Linked DNA regions of Tamandua tetradactyla. The protein of the gene in region 1 interacts with the protein of each later gene in a biochemical or structural test. Links are inferred from orthologs where the notes say so. Each region holds a gene or a part of one and is shown in the gene's direction. Other genes may lie near its edges. The genes, in order: PJA1 and NSMCE3.

Region 1 (13,212 bases):
TTAGCCAGCAAAGAAATGAGGGGACTGCATTCCAAGTATGGTGAACAACAGGTATGAAGGTGCTGAAGCAAGAGGGAGTTTGTTGTATTCCAGACATGGAAAGAAGGTCAGTGGAAATTGGAGCAGGGAGGCACAAAGGTGGGAAGAGATGAGGCTGGAAAGGTGGGCAAGACACCAATCACTGTAAGCCTCTAGGTCATGGTAAGGAGTTTGCATTCAAGCCAAGAATGACCCCTAAAGTCCCCAATATTACTCTGACTCCCCACCAGCTGATCAGCACGTTAGAACTCAAACTCGTTGCCTGAGGCAGGGGCTTAAGGGGCTTGGTTCAGAGCAGCAGAGTTATCAGGCCTGGAGGTAGAACCTAATTGAAGAAGCTACTCCATACCCTGTACCTCTGAAGAAGTCTAAAGGTGGGCCTCTTTTTTTTGCAGGTGCCATTTCTTCTCTCTGTTGGGGACAACCAGAAGTGTTTACAGCTCCATCTTGCCTTTTGCACTTCCTCTGGTGTTCCTCTTTTCAAAGGGGCTCATTTTCCATAATCTCAGCTCCCCATTTGTGTATCTTCCACCCTTCTGTTGTGAAGGGGGCAACCAGAGGTAGGGTTTAGATCCGAGGCAGGGCCAAATGCAGCTATTCCTGTGCCAGATGTTGATGTGCCTTCCAACCTTACCCCAGCTCCTGCCCTTGCCACTCCCCCATCATGTTCTGTGAGCAATGCTCTTCCAGCTGACATGGCCACAGCACTTCCCTGCCCAGGCAGGTCCCACCACACACAGACTGGCAGAGTTTGCATAGGCTAGTACCACCTCTCCACTGCCAAGATAGGAACGGTAAGATTTGGAGAGGGGAAGAGATCCACCCAGGTTCTTGCCTGTGAACCAACTTGTGTCCTTGCCTTTGGACCCTGCCTTCTTCCATTCCCTGCCATCTCCCCAACACTGTCAGCTGACTCCCTTCTCTCCAGAGGTTGACAGAAGCAAAGAAGCACTAAGGGAAGAGGGGATGCCCAATGGAAAGAGGGTAAGGAGAACCTGCCTCTCTGCTTCCATGTCCCAGTTATCCCTCACCATCCACTCAGCCCACAGAATGTCCAAGCACAGGGAGCCAGTAAGTTCCTCTAGGCCTCTGCCAGGGAACCCCCTGCCTGGCACAGCCTCCCTTTTAGGCAGGAACTGTAGCCACCCCACTCCACTCACCTCAGACCAGATGCAGCCTGGAGCAGAAGGAAAAGTGTGGTTTTGGAGTCAACAGTCCTGGCTCCTAATTCCAGCTCTGCCACTTCTAGCTGAGTAGCCTTGGACAAATCCCTTAAGATCTCTGAGCTACCTCAGCAGGTAGCCATGAAGATTAAGTAATAAGAGAGCAGATGTCAGGTACCTGGCCTATACAGTAGGTGTCTGACAAATGTTTGACCACTCCCCACACTCTGGGTTTGCCCCTCCAGCCCTGCTTCCTCAGCCATCTCCGTGTCCTGTCTAATTCCTGCCAGAGAACTTTGGGGGTGAGGCTGGGATCAGATCTTGGTAAGAATCTCCTTGGCTATGGAGAGAAGAGAAGGGAACTGTGGCACACAGTAGACAGTCCTAATCCCTGAAACTCAGCAGGAGGCACACCGTGGGAAACCAAGCCAGGGGAAAAGATGAAGGAAGGGAAATCAGAAGGAAGGAGGAGGAGACAGGTGGTTTCAGGGCCTGTGGGAAGGCAGGACATGGGGCAAAGGGGCTGGGCAGCATGGGGCACCATCCAGCTGGACGAGGCAGTGCCAAGAGGATTGGAAGAGGTGCCAGTATCTCCAAGAACATCAACCAGTTCCATACCCCTACCCTATACTGTCAACACCCCTTTTCAACATGAGAATAGTGAAAATGCGCATAACCCAAATATTCCTAAAGATTGGGAGAGGAATCAAAGAAGGAAGAGTTTTAACAGAGAAGTTGGAATTTAACAAATGAGTATGACTATTGGATCATTATATTGATCTTTCTTTTTAATCTCCAGTGTCTTGAAGCAGCTAGAAGGAAAAACCCGAAATAGTGGAACTGTAACCCATACCAAACTTTGAAATGTGTTCTATAATGAACTGCTAAAATGTATATGGAAATTTATTGCTTTTTTTGTTTATATGTTATATTTCACAGTAAAAAAAAAAAAGCAAAAAACAACAAACAAACAGGGTTTTCACTCTGGCCCAAGGCAGACTGGTGTTTCTGGCCTCCTGGGGATATTTCTTTTTAGTCTCCAGTGTCTTAGAGCAGCTAGAAGAAAAATCTTGAAATTGTGGATCTGTAACCTCTACCATACTTTGAAATCCGTTCTATAGCTACTTGTTAAAATGTACTTTGAAATTTATATCTTTTTTGTATATATGTTATGTTTCACAATAATTAAAAAAAGGGTTGTGGGAGATAAAGGAGGAGGCCTCTGAGCTGCAGGCTGCTTGAACCTCTCTTAATGGCAACTCCTCTCAGTTTGATCTGGGAGCACAGCACCTCCACTCAGGCTCCACAGGGGAGTGATACAGGGCAAGGGGGAGTGGGTTCACATCCATGTCCAAACACCTGGCTCCTGGGTGCATTTTGCTGAAACATATCCACTGGCTCACCTGCCCACCCCCACTCCCCCAACCCTTGCAGCCAGGAGCACCCACTAGAGATGCCAAGCAGAGGTCAGTGAAGACCCGAGCCAGAGTCAAAGCTCCAGCTGTGACCAGGAAACTTTGGAAAGGGAGAGGGGGTATATGGGAGCTCTCTATACTTTCTGCTCACTTTTTCTGGAAACCAAAATTGCTCTTCAAAAATAAGGTGCTAAAGAAAAAAAAAGAAAAGTAATCTTGGTAGCAGTATTACTGACAAGACTGACCTTAACAACAAAAGCATTATTAGAGATAAAGGAAGACATTATTTAGTGAAAACATGAGCAAGTTTTCGAGAAGACAGCACAGTCTTGACCCTACACTCACTGTATGTGTTTTAAAAGCATATATAAATGGTGCTATAACATACGTATTCTCTTACAACCTGTATTTTTTTTCACTCAATATGGTTTTCCAGATTTCTCCATTGCAATACATGTAGATTCAGATTCTGCATCTAAGCTGCTCTCTAGTAAGGATTCTATTGTAACTTAATTGTCCATGCCCCTTTTGATAACCACGTAGGTTCCGTCTAATTTTTTATGATTAAAAACCAATGCTGCCATGAATATACATGCATGTATTTCATTTCCATCATGTACAAGTATATCTGTATAATAGAATTGTTGAAATAGATTTTCTGGGTCAAAAGTGTGTGCATTGGTAGTTTTGATAGATATTGCCAACTTGCCTAAGTATGAAGGTTCTACCTATTTATTTTCCTACCCGCATTGTTTGAGAGTGCCCATTGTTTCCCACTCTCGACAGCGCAGTGCTTTATCAAACTTTTTCAAACATTATCATGGTCAGTCTGATAGAGGTAATTAGTGTCTCGTATTTTTGTGAGTGAGTCTGAACATTGTCATGCATTTAAGTGCTGTTTGTATTTCCTTTTCATGATACCGACCATTCAATTTCTTTGCTCAATTTTAAATTGGTTTGTAAGGTTCTTATTGATTTGTAAGAGTTCTTCATGCATTTTGGGAAATTAGCCCTCTGTCTATGAAATGAGCAGCAAATATTTTTTCCGGTTTTTCATTTGTCTTTGACTTTACTCAGGATTTTATTTTGCCTGTCAGAACATTTTATTTATATGTAGTTGAATCTTTTATTTTTTTTTTCCTTCCATGTATTTTGTCAAACTTGTAAAGGTCTTCTACATTCCTGGGTTATAAAAAAAACATACTGTCACGGATTGTTTAAATAATTTTTTTAAAAAGCAGTTTTATTCAGATACATTCAAGTCATACAGTTTATCCACACTGTACAATCAGTGGTTCACAGTCTCATCATGTAGTTGTACATTCATCACCGTATTTAAGTACTTTTATAATTTCATATTAACATTTAAAGAAAACACTGACTAGGAGAAGATATTTGCAATTGTACAAATATAACTGACATTTGATATTCATAATATATAAAGAATCCCTAGAAATCAATAATAACCAAAAGAACCTTAATAGAAGAATGGACAAAGGGTATGAACCAACAATCTGGAAAAGAAGAAATCTAAATGGTCAACAAGCACAAAGAGATACTTGGCTGCTTGGAAATAAAAGTAATTTAGGGAAAAACAAAGTCAAACAACAATGTCCTGTATTCATTGGGTTGGCAACAATTTTAAACTGTGAACCCACCAAGAGTGTTGGGACATGGGGAAACATTGATGTGAATAAACTGTAGCTGGGAATGTAAATTGGTATAGCCACTTAGAAAGCAAATTGGTGATATCTATTGAAGTTGAAAATGCCCCCACCCCCTACCCCTGGCTCATCCCAAGGATTCCTACCTCTTGGTATTCATACCCTTGTGGAATCTCCTCCTTTTCAGTGTGGGCTGGATCTAGTGACATACATTTAATGAATACAGTATAGCAAAAGTGATGGGATATAACTTTCAAGCTTCGGTTGTAAAAAGACTGTGGCTTCTTTCTTTGACTCTCACTTTCTCATTGGCTGCCATGTTGTTAGGAAACCCAGGAAGCCTGGGTAAGGCCCACATGGTAAGGAATTGGCGTGTGACAGCAATTACACAAGCAAGCTTGAAAGGAGATCTTTTGAGGTCTGCCAATATCCATGTAAAAGATCTTGAATGTGGACCTCCCACCCAGCCCAGTTAAACCTTCATATGAGCTTGCAACCCTCGCTGGTGACTTGACTGCAACCTCTTGAGAGACCTTGAGCCAGAGGCACCCAGCTAAGCCACATCTGGGTTTCTGACCCACAGGACCTGTGAGATAATAAATGCTTATTGTTTTAATACTAAGCTTGGGACAATTTGTTATACTGCAATAGATAACTACTACATATGCTTTGATGAGAATTTCTACTATAATAAACATGCACTAGAGCAGTTTTTTTCCCAATCCTTTGCACATCAGAGCTCATATTTTTAAAATGCTAATATTTGTACAAATTCACTGGGATGAACAGCTGGGCAGTAGTTGGCCAAGCCCTAGGGAATCAATATATCAAAACACTCATAACCCTTTTAGGACTCTCTGCTCTAGAGAAATTCTCCCATTGGGGCACATGGAGCTATGCAAGAAGGGTCTGAGGATCTGAAAGAAAAACTATTTGCTCAATCTATATGTCAGGTACAGGAATATGTGTCCTTTACCCTCTGTACTTTTTTATGTTTGAAATATTTAAAATTTTTTCATAAAATAAAATTTATCCTTTCTTGAGTGCAAAAATACATATACATTTGATCAGGCTTATTGTATTGTTCAATTTCTCTATGTCGTTATTTACTTTTCAGTCTATTTGATGTACCTATACCAGAGAGGTGTGGTTAAAGTCTCCCACTGTACTGGCAGACTTCCAGATCTCTCCTTATATTTCTAACGGTATTTGCTTCATACATTTTGAAGCTATGTTGTTTGGTACACACATTTTTGGTGACTGTCATGTCTTCTTGGTGAGTGAAACAACCTGTCTGTTTCTCTTTAATGCTTTTTACTTTGAATTCTTAATTTTTCTGATGTCAACGTTGGTACAAGTCACCCATTCCTTCTTCCTTCCCTCCCCTCCTTCCATCTCTCCCTCTAATCTTTAACTGGTATATATTTTCCAGTTCTGTTTCTGTTGTGGATGATAGTCATATGAACAGCATATAGCTGTTTTTTTTCTAAATGAAATGCTTGAAACATGCGTTTGCTTTTTAACAGACGTTAATCCGTAATACACCATTTAAATACATTATTTAATTGTAATAAATTTATTTGGATTTATTCCTGCTTTTTTGTTCTCTTTTTATGTATTTTCTTTTTGATCCCCTCATATCCTGTCCTTTGTTAGACTGAGTTTTTGTCTTTGTTCCACGTATTGTTATTCTAATGGTTTGCAAGTTTTACGCATTTTACTTCCAGGAAGAACAAAATTTTACAACTATGCTCAACATTGGAAGTATTCACATTCGATGCAAATATTAGAGTTCCATTATAAAGTACAAGTAAGAAAAAGTTCTGAGGTATAACTCCGAAAGGGACAACTACATTTTTTTTTCGTTTTGTCTGGAGGTGAAGTTTTACATCACGCAAAAGTAACCACTTCAAAGTGTACAACTCGGCGGTATTTAACACATTCACAATGCTGTGCAACTACCAACTCTATCTAGTACCAAAGCATTTTCATCACCCCAGAAGAAAATCCTGTATTCATTAAGCAGTCAGTCCCCATTTCCCACTAACTATACAGTATGTTTTAAGTGCAATGCAGCTACCGGGATGTGAACCCGTTTTGTGCTTCCTGATTGACCATCTCTCTTAGCTAGCGAGGCCTGATTTTTGTGATTCACAGCAACAAATTCTATCCTACACAGCTTCAATTTGCCTCCCCCATCAAGTTAAAAAAAAAATCTAAGCTTACTGCAACACTGTTTGCTGAAATTGCATTTTAAATATTTCCAGTCCAAACCAGTACATAGACTATGGGAATATGCTTATATTAATATGATTTCTTTCTCATTGGAGTCAGTGGGAGAAAATTTGCAGATTTCATTTTATATTCAAACAAACCCAGAACAGAAGGGTCTGTCCGCTAAATGTTTCACATTTGTTCTATCTGACTGTTGGCTACATTTTCCCCTGTCCCTTTTCTGTATCCTTGACGATTTTATCATTTAAAATGAAATAATGCTCTCACGCCGGGCCTGATTTGTCGCGAGCAGCTGCCGCCCCCGCCACATCCAGGGGGCGGATCCCAGCCTACGTCACGATCACTTCCGCTGTCTGGCGGGGGCGGAGCTGGAGACCCGGGAGCAGCAGCTCTGACGGTCGTGGCGGTCGGAGGTTCAAGGTATCTGCTCCACCGAAGACCGTGCGAGCGCCCGGAGTGGGTGAGTGCGAGGCGGCTTATTTCCTCGGGTCCTCCAGACCCTGGCGGTGGGGTGAGTGGCCGGGCGTGGAGGGGGCGTGGGAGGAAAGGCAACGATTTGCAGGAGGCGGGGGGTTCTCGTTAAGGGATTTTCGGGTTCGCCCCTCGGGAAGGGGTGGAGCGGGCGCGGGCACGGGACCTGCCTGCAGAGTCCTCGGCCCTCCCTCCTCCCGAAGAGGGGGTTTCAACCTCTGTGGCCGACCTCCTGCGGGTGACGCGGCCGCGCACTCGAATGGCTTGAATTGCTGTTCGAGGAGGGAGTGGTGGTCGCGGCCCTCTCCCTTTTCCCTCTGCCGCTCTCCCCCCACCCCCACCCTCAACCCCACTTCTCCCCTTCTCCTTCCTCAGTCCCTTTGTGGAACACCCCACGGCCTGCCTTCCCGCATTTTGCCGTTGTTTTGCTGAATGGTAAATGGTTAAGGTTGCTAGTAGGTAACAATGTTGTTCCCGGGAAGAGAATTGTCAGGAAAAAAAGATATATATTCCCAGGGAAAAACTATACCCGGCTCCTTTTCTACCCCAACTCACCCTTCCCTGCCACATAGGTTTGGGGCTGCTGTTTGAGCTGATGACACTTTCCTGTCTCTCATTATGACATTGCGGCCCCCTTCGCCTCCCACCCTCTCTCCCTGTCCTCCCTGCACCCTCCATCCCCCACCTCCTTCCGTTCATTCTCATATGCCCTCCTGTGCATCCCCTTTCCCACCAGCACCCTCAAGATCCCAGCGCTGTCCCAGCCCCCATGTGTGTGCCGGCACACACACACCCTCACCCCCTCCAGTTCTTCCCCCCCCAACACTGCCTGCCACATACACACCTCCAAGACAGGCCCCCCTCCCTCTGCATGCTCTGGCCAACACACACACCCTCTCCTTCTCCCTGCCTGCGAGACATATACACACACACATATCCCTCAAGTGCTCCCCACTCCTGCTCCCTGTCTGCCACATGTGCTCCTTTTGCCAGTCCCCATGGCCACGCACACTCAAACTCACACTCATACAAATTCTTCTCCAAGTACATATTACCATATTCTCACATCCAGACATTCTTTCATTTCTGGCCCTTGTTCCACACACACGTCCTTCTCCACTGCTGCTTACTGCCCCCCATCAGCCCCACGGCCCACAACATTTGCTCACACTGATATTGCCCCATGTCTGCCTACCATTTTGATGCACACACAAACTCACAGACACCATTCTCCAGTGCCACCATACCCTCCCCTGCCTGCCACATGCACATAAACACAGGCACCCCTCCACAGATTTTTACCTGCCACTCATATAACTCCACATACACGTTCTCTTTTTCTCATATGCACCTCTGTCCTCTGAAGCCATCCCACCCATCCATACCTGTCATTTTCACACTTAGACCCAGAAGGATCTCATTCAAACACTTATATCCCCTCCTGGTTCCGCTGTGATCTACCTCTCCCCCTATAAACCCAGACATCTCCCCACTGCAGGATGACTGGTCCCCCTTCCACCTGCCCCTCTCCTTCTGACAGACATGTATGCACGCACACACATGCGATGATCCATAGTTTCCACTCTCTGCCAATTTGCATTTCTTCTGTGTATCTGTGGGGCTCTGAAAAATGCAGGCACTCCATAAAAAAACCCACAGCAGTCTTTCCTCTTCCCACATTGGTGCAGTTCCAAAGTGCTTCACCCACCTTCTGAGCGTCCGGTCACCCCCCACCTTCTGTCAGATTCTCCCTTAAGTCTGACTCTCCTACAAGCACAGTTTTGTAATCATTTTGCCAACATTAAAAATGTGTTCCAGGTCTACACCTGACAGTCACTGGAATGCTACTCCAGGCCTTAGAAGAAAGTGAAACTAATTTTAAAGGCCCCTTATTCTTTCTGTTACCTGCCTGCTGAAGTGAAAATAAATCTCCCTGCTCCTTTATTCTGAACTGATTTGACTTTCCCATCTCCAAAGCGTGTGCAGGGAGCCAGGACCCTTGGCACCTGAGCCCCAGCTGTGTTGGAAACCTTCCTAAGTCAGAGCGATGGGTCAGGAATCTAGCAAGCCTGTCTGGCCCAAACCAGCAGGAGGGTATCAGTCCAATACAGGCAGGAGGTATGGAAGAAGGCATGCTTATGTCAGTTTCAGGCCTTCCACGAGCCAGCAGCACAGGATTTCCGGCCAGAGAAAGACAACCTCCGAAGTCCCAATGCACAGATCCGCCCCCAGTCAAACCACCAAGAGGAGCCGGTCACCGTTTTCCACCACTCGTCGTAGTTGGGACGACAGTGAGAGCTCGGGAAGCAGTCTGAATGTTGATAATGAGGACTATTCCAGGTATCCGCCCAGAGAGTTTAGGGCTTCGGGTGGCAGGAGGCCCATGGCTTATGGACATATTGACTTTTACGGGGCGGATGATAGTGAGGAGGAGGGGGCTGGGCCTGTTGAGCGACTGCCAGTGAGAGGGAAAACTGGCAAGTTCAAAGAGGATAAGTTATATGACCTGGAGAAAGGGGCGAGGTCTTTGGCTGGGGTGCCACTACAGTTCTCTAGTTTTAAGCATGACGTGAGAGAGGAGCTTAACAAGTTAGACCCAGCCCCTGCAGCAAGAGGCTCTACTGGCAGAGCTGAGTTAGTACAGCAAAGTAGCAGGGCCTTGCAGACATCTTCTGCCAAAGGCAAGGTGACTATGACTGGTGACAGCCTGGGGAGGGAGAGACAGAAGCAGAATTTACCAGAGCGTCCTGGCAGGGCTCCTGTGAGTATTTGTGGTGGTGGGGACAACACCCTGAAAGGTTCAGAGGAACCAGTGGTAAGGCCTAAAATCAGAAATATGGCAAGCCCAAACTGCGTGAAACCAAAAATATTTTTTGATACTGATGATGATGATGATGATATGCCACACAGTACTTCCAGATGGAGGGACATGGCCACCACTGATGAAGTCCCCTCCGATGGCCTAGTGAGAAGAGGCAGAGGCGAAAGTTCAAGTGGCTACCCTGGGCCAAAATACCCTGAAGAAAAGAGAGAAGCAAGGAGTGACCAAGTGAAACCAGAGAAGGTGCCAAGACGACGGCGCACCATGGCTGACCCTGACTTCTGGACCTACAGTGATGATTACTATAGGTACTGCGACGAAGACTCCGACAGTGACAAAGAGTGGACCGCTGCTTTGCGTCGCAAGTATCGAGGGCAAGAACAAAACCTGTCCTCCAGTGGCGAAAGCTGGGAGACGTTACCAGGAAAGGAAGAGCATGAGCCCGAGCAACTTGGAGCCAAGGCCAGTGGCAGTGCCAGCCCTGTGGCTGGTGCCAGCGCTCGCAGCAATGGCGGCAATTACCTGGAAGAAGTTCGAGAGCCCTCTCTTCAGGAGGAGGAGCAGGCATCCCTGGAAGAGGGAGAAATCCCTTGGCTCCAGTACAATGAAAATGAGAGCAGCAGCGAGGGGGATAATGAGTCTGGTCATGAGTTTATGCAACCTGGGGTGTTCATGCTGGATGGAAATAACAACCTGGAAGATGACTCCAGTGTCAGCGAAGACCTAGAAGTGGATTGGAGCCTCTTTGATGGATTCGCGGATGGACTAGGAGTGGCTGAAGCCATTTCCTATGTGGATCCCCAGTTCCTCACCTACATGGCACTTGAAGAACGCCTGGCTCAGGCGATGGAGACTGCCCTTGCACACCTGGAGTCCCTCGCCGTGGACGTGGAGGTGGCCAATCCGCCTGCGAGCAAGGAGAGCATCGATAGTCTGCCCGAGATCCTGGTCACCGAGGATCACAGCGCGGTGGGTCAGGAAATGTGTTGCCCGATTTGTTGCAGTGAATATGTGAAGGGGGAGGTGGCGACAGAGCTGCCATGCCACCACTATTTCCACAAGCCTTGTGTGTCCATTTGGCTTCAGAAGTCAGGCACCTGCCCCGTGTGCCGCTGCATGTTCCCTCCTCCACTCTAAAGACCAAGGTGATTTACTCCTGGTCTGATCATTTTCCCCATGCAAAATCCACAATACTGCAGGAGCCCTCTCAAAATTAACAATTGAGATGAGAAACCAATCAGTCAATTAAGCCAAGTCTGTTGATTCCTTGTGATCATTTCCAATGTGAAAATTGTTGTGTATGATTGCATTAAAAAAATCACACTGTCTTTTAGAGGTTAAAAAAGAGAAAACTAAACTTTCTAAATGCTACTTGAGATTGCATTAAAGTACATAAATTTTCTAACCTGAAAGTTGCAATAAGTTGCATTTCTTTTCTTCAGTAGGATGCTGAAGTTGCTGTTAACTGTATTGTCAAGTTTCTCTGTTAAATATGTCCAAAAGACATAATCATTTTTGTTGCATGTTATGGGTTAACATTCCTGTAATTGCAGTGTGGTAAAAGCTTATTAAAGTTCTCCTTTTGGTTTTACATGGTATAATGGAATTGTTTGGTTTTGTCTAAAACAGTGGGACTAAGTGATTTCATGATTAAGCCCTTGCATTTGCATAAAAAGTAGAAGCTTTTGGTGTTCCTGACAGAAGAAAACCTTTCCTTTCATTGAGAGTGTTGATTCCAATAACAGCAGCAAAAAAAAAAAAGGTAATCATTTTTAAAAGTAGAAATCAAGTGTCTGGTTGTCAAACTACTACCAAGGAAAAGGGTGGAGAGAGAATACCCTGCCTAAGGGAAGAAAAGAAGCAATGAGGAAACATGGTAATAGTGAAGCATGTTGGGAGGGATAAATCCAGAGTGTAGGTGGGAGTGGGTTAAAATCACATTTTAGAAAAAAGGAACACTCAGATGGGATGGGGAAAAAATAAAGCTGTATGCGGATTACATATCTTAACACAGTGACACAGGGATAGCAAAATCTATGCCAGTCAAGTGCTACCAAAAAAAAAAAAAAAGAAAAGAAAATACAGAAACTCACCTCATAGAGTAAACAGATTTTAACATTTGGCCATATTAGTTTCAGATTCTCTCTCTCTATATATAATCTCCATTAAATAAAAATTTCCTGGCATAAGTGAAGTTTTTCACCCCATCACATTTGGCTTCTTTCCTTCACAGAGGTAAGCAATACCCTGGAGATAGTGTGTTTACTTGTCTATGTTTTTAGATATATGTATGTGTGTGTGTGTATATGTATATATGTATACAGATATCTATAACCGATATAGAAAATTTATGTTTTTAAAATGGTTATAAGTGATAGAATGTATGTATCGTTTTGCAACTTGATTTTTTCACTCAACATTGTTTTTCTGAGATTTAGTCATTTTAATAGATGAGGATCTAGTGCATGCATTTTAACTGCTGTATATTAACTATTCAGTTGTATGGATTATCACAGTTTAACCATTCCCCTATTAATGGACATTTAGGCACTTCCCTGTATCTTGCTGCAGTGAACATACTAAGAGTCTCTGTGCACATGTGTAAGTTTCTCTAGGGCAAGTACATGGAAATGGAATTGCTGGGTTGGAGCCTCTTCACCCTAACTAGATGCTGCCAAATTGCTTTCCTAAGCGAGTGTACTAATTTATGCTCCTACCAACGGTTTCCAAGAGCTGTTTGCCCACATCTCCAGCAGCCTTGATAATGTTGGGTAAGATTCAACCTCACTGTAGTCAGTGACACGTAAATTGAAATAGTAGCAAAACATACCATGTCCGTTAGGAAACAATTAAGTTTTTCATTGTGGTACTATGTAGTTTTGGCCAGGATGAGAAGCAGTGGGGACACTCATATGCTGTTGGTGTGAATATACACTATAGCAGTGATTTTGGAGAGTACTTGGGGTTGTAGCTGTCAGAACATAAAACCGGTGCATGTCCTTCAAGCCAAGTTGAATACTTTGGTAGTATAGGATTGCTACTATGCAGCAGTTAAAAATTGTATGTACTGATGTGGAACGATCTCTAAAACATAATGTTAAGTTAAAAAAGCATATTGTAGAGCAATATGTACAGTCTGGATGTGAAATAAAACTTTATGCAACCAAAAACTTTATATGAAAATGTCTGGAAGGCTCCATACCCACTGATGGCAATGGTTCCCTCTGGGGAGGGACAGGGGTTTGGGGGAGAGGAAGGAGGCTTTTATTTTCACCCAAAGTAATTAATTGGCTTGACTTTCTTTTACAATGTCAGTATATTCATGAATGTTAGCCAAGTAAGTAAAACATTTTTTTAAATGGCAGTTTTAAAAAAGCAAGATCATTCTTATTCTCTCATTGTAA
Region 2 (11,394 bases), on another chromosome or scaffold:
TTTAGTCTTCCAATCCATGAACACGGTATGCCCTTCCATCTATTTAGGTCTTCTGTGATTTCTTGTAACAGTTTTTTGTAGTTTTCTTTATATAGGTTTTTTGTCTCTTTGGTTAAATTTATTCCTAGGTATTTTATTCTTTTAGTTGCGATTGTAAATGGGATTCGTTTCTTGATTTCCGCCTCAGCTTGTTCATTACTAGTGTATAGAAAAGCTACAGATTTTTGAATGTTGATCTTGTAGCCTGCTACTTTGCTGTACTCATTTATTAGCTCTAGTAATTTTGTTGTGGATTTTTCTGGGTTTTCTACATATAGTATCATATCGTCTGCAAACAGTGATAGTTTTACTTCTTCCTTTCCAATTTTGATGCCTTGTATTTCTTTTTCTTGCCTAATTGCTCTGGCTAGAACTTCCAACACAATGTTGAATAATAGTGGTGATAGTGGACATCCTTGTCTTGTTCCTGATCTTAGGGGGAAAGTTTTCAATTTTTCCCCATTGAGGATGATATTAGCTGTGGGTTTTTCATATATTCCCTCTATCATTTTAAGGAAGTTCCCTTGTATTCCTATCTTTTGAAGTGTTTTCAGCATTACTTATTTTTTTTTATTTTCAACATTTATAATCTTGAATTCCTGAAATAAATCCCATTGCTAATGGTGTATAATAATTCTTTTTATATTTTGTTGGGTTTGATTTGTTATTATTTTGGTGAGGATTTTTGCCTTTGTATTCATAAAGGATATTGGTCTGCTGTTTACTGTGATATTTTTTTCTAGTTTTGGTAACAAGATCATCCTCAACTCACAGAAAGTGTTGGAATATTTTTTTTTCATCTTCAATTTTCTGGAAGAGTTTTTAAAGGGGTGGTGTTAACTATGTGGTAGAACTCACCAAGAAATTCACGTGGGCTTAGGTTTTTTCCTTTGGGGGAAATTTTAATAGTACTAATTTAATCTCTTTGTTATAGTTCTATTCAGATTTTATTTCTTCTAGAACAAGTTTCATTAAAATGTATTTCCAGTAACTTTTACTTTCTTTCAATTTATCTAATTTGTTGGTATATGGCTCCAAGCATTCCCTTATAATTGTTTTTTTTTTTATTTTTTTTATTTCTGTAGGGTCAATTTGATGTCCCCTCTTTCATTCCTGATTTTATTAACTTGAATATTCTTTCTTTCTTGGTCACTCTAGCTAAAGTCTTGTCCATTTTATTGTTTCTTCAAACTCGTGGGTCAACTTTAATAAATGTAATTTTTTTCTTATTCACCTGTCAAGGGTTTTGTACTTCATTTCTCTGTAGGTTACATTGTTGGAATCATTGGGAAAGTATTAGAATGGCAAGTGGTAGGAGAACTGCAGTTTCTGGCATGGAAGATTTTGCTCTAAGGGCCACAGTGAATCAAAGGGCACACTATATACACATCTGCTGAGGCACTATGAAGAAGCTTCTTGGAGTCTACCAGGTCTCAGAGGGGGGTAAACTGGTGACTCCAAACCTCAAGGCCTAGCAGCATTTGACCTTCCTGTGAGGCTCCCTCTGAGAGCAATTGGTCAACAGCCTGAGATAGGTTCCTGGAGGAGTATCCTTATCAGGAAGCCAACTATTAAGTTTCTCAGAAGGGATATATAGGCTTCTGCTAGCTGTTACCCCACAAATACCACAAAATGCTGGGTTTTTCGAGGCTTGGGGAAGGGACAAGTCCTCTTCTCATCAGGAACCTAAACTCTCACTTGCAGGAGGAAGAAACCCTGTATGCCTTTCTCTTCTACAGCTCCTCCTTGGTGCCCCTGTCCTCTGGGTACACATACCTCTACTCTAAGCTAATAATGTGGAGTCTAAAAGAGAGACGATTCTGTCAACTTTCATAGTGCAGCCAGTAGGGAAATGCTTTAGGTCAAATATGGAGAAAACAGCTACTCTAGATTAGCAGATGCTTTAAAGTAGGTTCTAATGTTCTGAAATTCCTTTCTGTGGGGATTAGGTCATATGTACAGTCTGTATGAAAAAGCACAGCCATTCATGATCTCTCTCCTGCCTTTATTGCCAGCTACTTAAAAGGTACATAAGCACTTCCTCAACCACAGAACACTGCCAAGAAACTTAAAAATTATTTTGTATTCAGATCAATTTAATTACATACAAGTGTGCTTACAGGTAATATTTACCTTGTCCAGCTCCATTTATGTGAAATAAATTCTCATTCCATAGTATACTTTTTCTCCCTACCTAATTGGTTTGGATACCAATTTAGCCACAAATTTTTCAGTTTCAAGTAAGAGGAATCAACTCTATGCAGTTTAAGCAAAAGGAGATTTTACTAGCTCCAGTAACTAGTTATCCTTACAGTCCAACCTTGAACTCTGGATCCAGAGATTCAGATGGCAGCATGAGAAATGTCTCTTCATCTATTAGGTCCTCTTTGAGTTAGCTTTGGAATTTTCTAATAGAACTTAATCATTTTCTTAAGAAGAGCTTTTTGTACTAAATGGTTACAATGCTTTTGGAAAGCAATAATCTAGCCCCAACGCCCCATCCCTTCCACCAGCCAAGGAAAGCTCTGCTTCTGTTTAGAAATGCTTAATTTCATGACGGGCAAAATGTTATTAGGCAGTTTATCATGTCATCTAAGTAGGAAGGATCTTTGCTACAAATAGTAAGCACAAACAAGAGATTGTATTGCCAACATTAAAATATTTGTATTGTTTTCCCTATTTACCCACTAAAATAATCTTTGTCCCCAAGTCCCTTGTTCATATGCTCCATGTTTGTTGTTCCACTTTCTTTCACTGGAAAAGTCAGGGAAGTTGCTCACATATGATAGCCACATACTTATTTTTGCATGGGCAAGCACCCGCATGGCAGGTGACAACTTTGCCTGCTGAGCCACCATGGCCTGCCCCTATTATATGATTTTATCATTGCCTTTCTTCCCCCAAAAGTCCTCACCTACTTTTAGCACTAGGTTGCCTGTTAGAAAAGTTAAAACCTTTCTTGGATCCTGTGAGAAATACCAGCGAATGATGAGGAAAATTCTGTAGAGAATAAGGATGAGTACTTTCTTAGCAGGCATTTGCTACCAAGGAGATGAAATAAAGCATTTAATTAGAGACCTCTAAAGAATTATTGGTGGTAGGTATTTCTTTGTTCAATGCATTTGAAATCTTACCTAGCTTAGTTTTTGCCTCAAAGTATGAAGATTATTAGCAGAAAGTGTTTGAAAATGTATTTCTTTTTTAACATCTCTTTCCTTCACTACCTAAACAAAAAGTCACAAATGACATTCAAACCACATCAAACTGACTGAAAATTTGAATGTGTATAACTGTTATGGCATGATGTCAAGAAAAGTTAAGCTTTGTTGAGAATATATTTACATTTATTTCCCAAGCAAGACAACCTATATTGAATTTATTTTTAAGAGAAAATAATTTTAATAGGAACTTGTTTTTCCCAGACGTTTTTTGATTTTTGTATGAGCACATTTTTAACTGTAGTATCTTTCTCTATATCACTTTGTGTAACCCTCAAATATGTATTGACTACACTGCCAGGCTGTCCTTGGTGCTTGGCAGACCTTTCTTACTTAGTTCCCAAGGCCAGGATCAGAACTCTAAATCTGGAGTATCAGTAGCTTTCTGAATGTCTTAAATGTTTCTAATCTAGGACCATCTGATTCCAAAGCCCTTACTCTTGCAAAGACACCAGGTGTGTTTTCTGCATATCAACATATGGTTAAGAGCACAGGCTCTGGAAGCAGACTGCCTAATTCAGATCCCAGATCCCGGATCTACCACTTAATTGCTGTGGGGCTGCAAACCCCTTATATATCTTCTCTGGGCCTCAGTTTCTTCATTTGTGAGAAGAGGAATACAATAAACGCACATGCCTTATATATTTGTTGCAAAATTAAATGAAGTAATACATGTAAATCACTTGGAATAAGGTCTGATCCAGTTACTTTTGAATTATCATTAGCCATTGTTGTTCTTCATATTTATTATTACTGTGCTGGCTTGAAAGGAAGTATGCCCCCTAAGAAAAGCCATGTTTTAATATAAATCCCATTTCATAAAGGTAGAATAATCTCTATTCAATACTGTATGTTTGAAACTGTAATGAGATTATCTCCCTGGATGATGTGCTTTAGTCAAGAGTGGTTGTTAAACTGGATTAGGGGATGACATGTCTCCACCCATTTGAGTGGGTCTTGATTAGTTTCTGAAGTCCTATAAAAGAGGAGAATGAGAGAGTCAGAGAGCAGAGAATGCTGCAGCACCACGAAGCAGAGTCCACCAGCCAGCGACCTTTGGAGATGAAGAAGGAAAATGCCTCCCGGGGAGCTTCATGAAACAGGAAGCCAGGGGACAAAGCTAGCAGGTGACACCGTATTCGCCATGTGCCCTTCCAGCCGAGAAAGAAGCCCTGACTGTGTTCGCCATGTGCCATCTCACTTGAGAGAGAGACCCTGAACTTCATTGGCCTTCTTGAACCAAGGTATCTTTCCCTGGATGCCTTTGATTGGACATTTCTATAGACTTGTTTTAATTGGGACATTTTCTTGGCCTTAGAACTGTAAACTAGCAACTTATTAAATTCCCCTTTTAAAAAGCCATTCCATTTCTGGTATATTGCATTCTGGCAGCTAACAAACTAGAACAATTACCATTCTCTATATTTATTATTGTGATGATGATTATTATCACCACTGTCATCACAATTTGTTCCCACACATCCATGGTTTCCCATGTCAGTCTGAGGTGGAATGTTGGCTTGGGTTACTCTCTATGCACTGCTTAAAATTCTAACACTATTTGATGCTTGTATTTTCCCACCTGCATTCTTCTAGACAGTGTAGAGCTTGTTTTGTTTGTTTTAATTAGAGATGTGGGCTTAAAGAAAAATCAGGCATAAAATCAGGGTTCCCATGTACCACCCTATTATTAACACCTTGAATTTGTTACAATTCAAAGAATGTTTTTATAATTGTACTATTAACTATAGTCCATCATATACAACACGGTTCACTATGTTATATAACTTTGTTTTTGTTTTAATTTTCATTCCAGTAACATATACACAAACTCCAAATTTCCCCCCTCAACCACATTCAAATATATAAGACTTAAAATCTACTACCTTTTCTCATCCATTTTAAGTAATAAAGATTTGCTGCCTGGGTAAGGATGCTACTGAAGGACCCTGCTGATTTTCACAAGGTCACAGGGGAGTCAGATGGATGGGGCTGCTTGGTAATTTAAATAAAACTTATTAAAAAACACTGAAACCCCAGACTAGTTGTTGAAAATGGCTTTCAACTTTTTATTTTCCATTGTTCCTTTATCTTTTTATTGGTGACATTTTTAAACTTAAGGTACAACTGATCATTCTGTGGAGACCTTTTGCAGAATTCTAGATAGACTGCAGGAGTTTTTTGAACTTGAGTCTGAATTTTAATTTCCAAGTAAATTTTGAAGATTTTTTTTTTCTTGTAAAAAAAAAATGAAGGCATTAATGATGTATTTATTTTTCTTGGTGGTGGGTCTTTCATTAAAGTGAGGATATGTTATTGTGCCTTGTGTAAAACAAAGTTGTTACTCCATGCTTACCAGATTTGTAGCATACTTGTATCACAACATGGAATACCTTTTATACTTAATATTGCAGTTCCAATGCTGTTATCAAATTTCATTTTCATACTGAATTACAAACAAAAAGTCTATGCTAACATTTAATGAAATTTTAATAAGGTTGTTATTTTGAGGTTATTATTCAAATATATTCTGAATTGCTTTCCTTTGAATATATTTTGCATTAAAGAAGAACTCAGTTTGATTTAGATTTTTGTACAGTTTACCCACTTTATAGAGTAGCTTCAAAAAGGCAAAGAGGGGAAATTCATTTTCTTTTGCGAGGTGGTATGATTTTAATTAAGTAATAGCAGCAGACTGCTAATGGTTTAAGTTAATGAAATAGCTCTTTCGGGCTATTCGAGTTGCACAATTAAAAATATATATACAAAGTGCACATATCAAAGATTATGAGGGATAACAGCCCGGGATTCTCTTTTCTTTCTCCTTAAGCTCTAAGGCTGATCTGTATTAAGAATTAAGAAATTCCAGAGTGACATTTTTGTAATTCAGCATCTGTGGTACCCCAAATTAAATGGCAATGTCTTGAGAGAGCATGCTTCTGTTTGTACCATTCCTCTTACCCCATTCCAACTAAAATTGTGGTTGTGGGCCCAAGGCAGTGAACTTGAACCTAGGGGTTCCAAAAGATAAATTGCTTTGAGCAAGCGAAAACCTCGCATTTAAACACGCTGTACGTGGCGGTTTTGTCAGAACTGTCCAGCTGATGCAGTTTAATGTGGAAAATACAAAAACTGAAATAGTGAAAAGGAGGGGTAATTCCCGCTCGCCAAGAAAACCTACCTTCATCAAACATTTTAAAATAAACTCTTGGGGACACGAAAGTTAACTGGGCGATCATAGTTAGGGGAAGGCGTGGCGAAGGAAAGTCTGACTGTCTCCAAATAGAAGTTTTCCGGGTTTTCCTCTTTTTTAAAAAAAATCCACGTTCCCTGTAGAAATAAATGCTTTTCCTTTACTTTTTACAGTCTTCCCTTCTTCTTCACCCTGTTTTTCTCCCATATGCATCCTCTGAGTTCTCGCCACTTAGAAACAGTCCCAATGTAAAAACTCTTAATACTCACTTTCTATAGAACTTGCCTGAGCCTGTTTCAGCTTGAATCTTGCCGCATACTAGTTTAGGAGTTTCGGTGCCAGCTCTCTATTTGTATGGTTTGTTAAGGATAGCACTTAAAATGATTTAAAAACAAACAAACAAAAAAACGAGCTACAGACAGCAAGCCAACTACGCGCGCTCTTCTCTCCCGCCGACGCGCGGCATTCGCGCAGACGCCACGAACGCCACGCCCAAGTTCCGCCAACGTAACAAGAGTTTTCAGTGACGTAAGGCGCGCCCCTCTGGCCCCGCCCCGGGACGTGCCTTGCGCAGGCCCAGATGTGACGTAGCGTGCCTCGCGTCTCCGGCGGCTTCCGCGATCCTGCTGCGGTCCGTTACCGCGAGCGGAGTTCGAGCCGGCGCCGGGAGTCCACCGCCGAATGACATGCTGCAGAAGCCGAGGATCCGGGGCCGTCCTGGCAGCCAGGCCGAGAGGGAAAGGGACTCGGGCCACGGCGGGGAGGAGGCTCCGAGTACCTCTCGCGGCACAGGCAGCTCGCAGGAGACTCTGAGCGCCTCGCCCAGGGGCACCCACGCCAGTCAGGCCACCCCTGCGGTGGGGCCCCGCACGCAGAAGCAGCTAGAGCTGAAGGTGGCCGAGTTGGTGCAGTTCCTGCTGATTAAAGACCAGAAGAAGATTCCGATCAAGCGTACCGAAATCCTGAAGCATGTCGTCGGAGACTACAAGGACATCTTCTCTGACCTCCTCAAGCTCGCCGCCGAGCGCCTCGAGTACGTCTTCGGGTACAGGCTGGTGGAACTCGAGCCCAAGAGCAACAGCTACATCCTCATCAACACCCTGGAGCCGGTGGAGGAGGATGCGGAGGTGCGGGGCGACCAGGGCACGCCCACCACGGGCCTCCTAATGATCGTTTTAGGGCTTATCTTTATGAAGGGCAACACCATCAAGGAGACTGAGGTCTGGGACTTTCTTCGTCGCTTAGGGGTGTACCCCACAAAGAAGCATTTGATTTTCGGGGACCCAAAGAAACTCATCACCGAAGAGTTCGTAAGGCAGCGTTACTTGGAGTACCGGCGGATTCCGCACACTGACCCCATAGACTATGAGTTCCAGTGGGGCCCGCGTACCAGTCTGGAAACCAGCAAGATGAAGGTGCTTAAGTTTGTGGCCAAAGTCCATAACCAAGACCCCAAGGACTGGCCAGCACAGTACTGTGAGGCTTTAGCAGAAGAGGCTGGTAGGGCCAGACCTGAGTCCGGTGGTCCGGCCCCCTCCTCTTGAAATCATACACAGATTTTTGGAGACTTCCCGGGGGAAGGGCCTCGGGCCCAAAGGCTGGTGCTGAGGGACGGGGGGAGAGGGGACAGTGGGCCATCTTTCGTAGCACTTGGAAGTATGTTAACTTTAGGATTTGTTTGCAAAGTTTTGTACCTTTAACATTCTTAATTATTTGATTCCAAGTCGACACATACCAAAGAGAAGGATGTGGTCGTCGTGAGGTTGTTTTGATATGCTTTATTTGTCTGTATTTTTTGGTATAAAACTTTTGCCAGCTTTGTGAAAGTAACTGGGGAACTGCACCATAATCCGGAACAGACTTGTAAGAAAGAACACATCGGTGAATTGTTTGTTTGTTTTTTGTCCCAAGAAAATAAAAGCAAAATGGCTATTATCTGGCTTCATAACTACCCCAGTTTGTAAAGAAAAATAAGTGTCTTTATAAATTGAAAATGAAATGTAATTGCCGGTGTATCCTTTTTTGCTTTAACACAGCTGTTTTATTGTTATATATTTTCCTCTTATAGAATACATTTTGAATGGTTCCAACTAGTGTACATAATTTATTTTCTCCGAATAGCAATTTTTAAAATCTTACTATATAATCATACTTATTACTCAGTTCTGTTGCTGACCATTTTATTTTTCCTTTTTGTGGTTTTAGTTATAATCAGTAATGTATTTTTGAAGCAGTTAAGCATTGTATGTTTTTTCAATCGTGGGTCATGAGAAGTTGTGACTCAAAACCACCACCTTAAAAAAAAGGAAAAGATAGTTCGTGCTACTTTATATAATATCATAAGTAGTGTTTTTTAGAAGTTGTTTCACTTTTATTTGTGTGTTTATATTGGGTCGTGATGTAAAACATTTTTTGCTGCAGCTCTCCCAAAAGTTTATGAAACAGTGGCTTATTAATGAACCATGCTTGCTTGGGAATCAGACTGCTTAGATGCATATCCTGGCCCCACCACTAACTTGGAGGAGGATGCGGAGGTGTGGATATATGAATTTAGGTTAGTTATTTCATCTGGGACAGATGTTTCCTCACCTGTAAAATGGAAGTGATGATGCCAAATCATGTGTGCTAGAACAGTGATTACATGTGACAGTGCATGTACTTGGCACAGTTGCTTGTAGGATTTTAGTTGTTACTTTGTTCGTAATTTTTTAAATTTGATTTTTATTCTCCTTCATTTAGAGCTTGATTTTGTTTTTTTCTTAAATTTTTTCTTCATCCTGGGCTAAATCATTCCTAGAAGGGGAATTCAAAAGTAGGTTCAAAAATTATGGCTGACATCGTGTAGTTGTTTTTTTTTTTTTTTACATGCACAGGCACCAGGAATCAAACCCAGGCCTCCGGCATGGTAGGTGAGAACTCTGCCACTGAGCCACCGTGGCCCACCCTAACATCATGTGGTTTTATGGAAACATAACCACATGGCATATGGCACCCACAGAGAGTAGTAGGAGCAAGAAAGTTCAAAGTAAAGTCTCACCAGGGCTTTGAGATGGTATCGTAGGGTAGTGAAAGGGTATGGGTTTTGAGGTCATTTGACAGTTTAAATTATGGCTCATGCTAACTTGTCAACATGGTCATTTGGAGTAGGTTTTAAGCTCTGTAAGTCTCACCTTTTTCATAAAATGATACAAATAACTTATATCATGGCTTGTATTATGGGTTAAATGAGATTATACCTTTAAAGTACCTAGTAGAACTCCATAGATGTTCACCATCCTTCCTTCTAGAGTAAACTAAGACAATTGCCACACTTGTACATTATTACTATGATGTATCTTATAAATCGGAATTTAGCACTTGAAGGATTTAAATTATCTCTCTTAACCCAGCCATTTCTTTGAACACTTGTGGAAACTGAAGCTTAGGACACGTGGACTTAGAACTAGAACTAGGCTAAGAACTTGGATTCAAAACCTAGTTTAGTGCATTCTATTTAGATTCTTATTGCAACAAGAAAATAGAGTTTTACCATGTCACCTCAAGTATCAAAGGATCTAGGAAAATTCCAACATCTTGGCTGAAAGATCTAGGAAAATCCTAACAGCCTGGCTTGGAGAAAAAGAACCTTAAACAGGGAATAGCTGGTAGTTGAGCCAAACCAGCCCTCGCCACAAAGTTAGTCCTTCCTCTTGCTCTTTCACTTCCAGCTGTCTCCTGTCAGGAGACATAGCTTTAGGTAGAAGAAACCTCCCGTCAGGAGAAATAGCTTCTTCTCACTGTATTTCCCCTTAGCATCAAGCAAAATGCTGTTTGTTTACAGGGATTCAGCCAATTATTTTATTAAGTCGGTATAATTGTTGGGGGGGGCGAAGGTGCTGCAAATGAACCAAGGTAAATATTTTCAGGAAAAAAAATGCGGACTCGATAAACACTGGACTAAATGCCATTTAGAATTGTCTCTGGTGAATATATGGTGGATATGGAGGGATGTGATAAGTTAGAGTGTTTTATTTCATTCTGTTGAATTAGGATTTGCATTTATTTCATCAATGGAATATAGTTGGTCCTTGAAGACATTTTTTCTTGGTTTGCATTTTATTTCAGGGTATAAATTACCTACTGACTAAGAGTTCTGCCTACTAATCAGTACTTCACTGGCACTGCTTTCTACACTTGGTGTGTTTTTACACTTGCATTTATACCAATATGGTGAAAATTATCAATATTCTCACCTTCCCAGAGTTAACAAAAGTTTGTGGGTATCATGCTGTTTTATAATTGTAGGTTTTTACCTCATATGTGTGTATACATAAACGATATAAGTAAAGCATTACTTTGTGAGTTTTTACAACTTATCTAAGTGGTAATGCACTGTGCATATCCTTTTGCAACATGCATTTTTTCACTCACTGTTTTGTTTGGAATCTAGCCATGTAGATGAAGGTAGACCCAATTCATTCATTTTAGTTGTTCTTTCATTAAACAAAACAAGCAAAAAAGGAAATAATGGTTTTGTTTATCTTTGGCTAAACAATTAGTTTCTTTCCAATCTTTTGCTATTGGCAGGCAGTATACAAGGCCTCCTTGGGCACATGTATGAAAAATTTTCCAGCCAGAAGCAAATAGAGCAATCGTAGGCCATTGCCAAATTGCTCTTGAGCTTGTATTACTTTACACTCCCCCATCATTTTATAGAGGTCTTTTTTTTTTTTTTTTTTTTTTGCTGAACCCCTAGCTACCCTGTATTGTGAAACTTTGATTTATTCAGTATCTTATTTTCAGCCAACTCTGGTGGGCAAGTAGTGATAATTGATCATGGTATTAATTTGCATCTCTTGCTTACTAGAGTATTTTTTAAGTTTATTTCTTTCTATCTTTAGCTCTTATAGCCTATCTCTCCTTTTTTGCTATTCACACTTCATATATGCCAGTTCTTTTTCTGTG

The links.
Region 2: the proteins of PJA1 (region 1) and NSMCE3 form a complex in vitro, tested with the Homo sapiens proteins (2 studies listed by BioGRID). The link is inferred for Tamandua tetradactyla from reciprocal best matches to the Homo sapiens genes PJA1 and NSMCE3.

Annotation. Positions count from the first base shown.
Region 1 is NC_135353.1:103,330,196-103,343,407, forward strand, and holds PJA1 (E3 ubiquitin-protein ligase Praja-1), read left to right. Parts: upstream 1-6,850; 5' UTR 6,851-6,976; exon of another isoform or gene 6,977-7,027; intron 7,028-8,805; 5' UTR 8,806-9,034; coding exon 9,035-10,945; 3' UTR 10,946-12,998; downstream 12,999-13,212. UniProt on the Homo sapiens protein: Has E2-dependent E3 ubiquitin-protein ligase activity. Ubiquitinates MAGED1 antigen leading to its subsequent degradation by proteasome. May be involved in protein sorting.
Region 2 is NC_135338.1:81,817,317-81,828,710, reverse strand, and holds NSMCE3 (non-structural maintenance of chromosomes element 3 homolog), read left to right. Parts: upstream 1-6,996; 5' UTR 6,997-7,136; coding exon 7,137-7,994; 3' UTR 7,995-8,449; downstream 8,450-11,394. UniProt on the Homo sapiens protein: Component of the SMC5-SMC6 complex, a complex involved in repair of DNA double-strand breaks by homologous recombination. The complex may promote sister chromatid homologous recombination by recruiting the SMC1-SMC3 cohesin complex to double-strand breaks.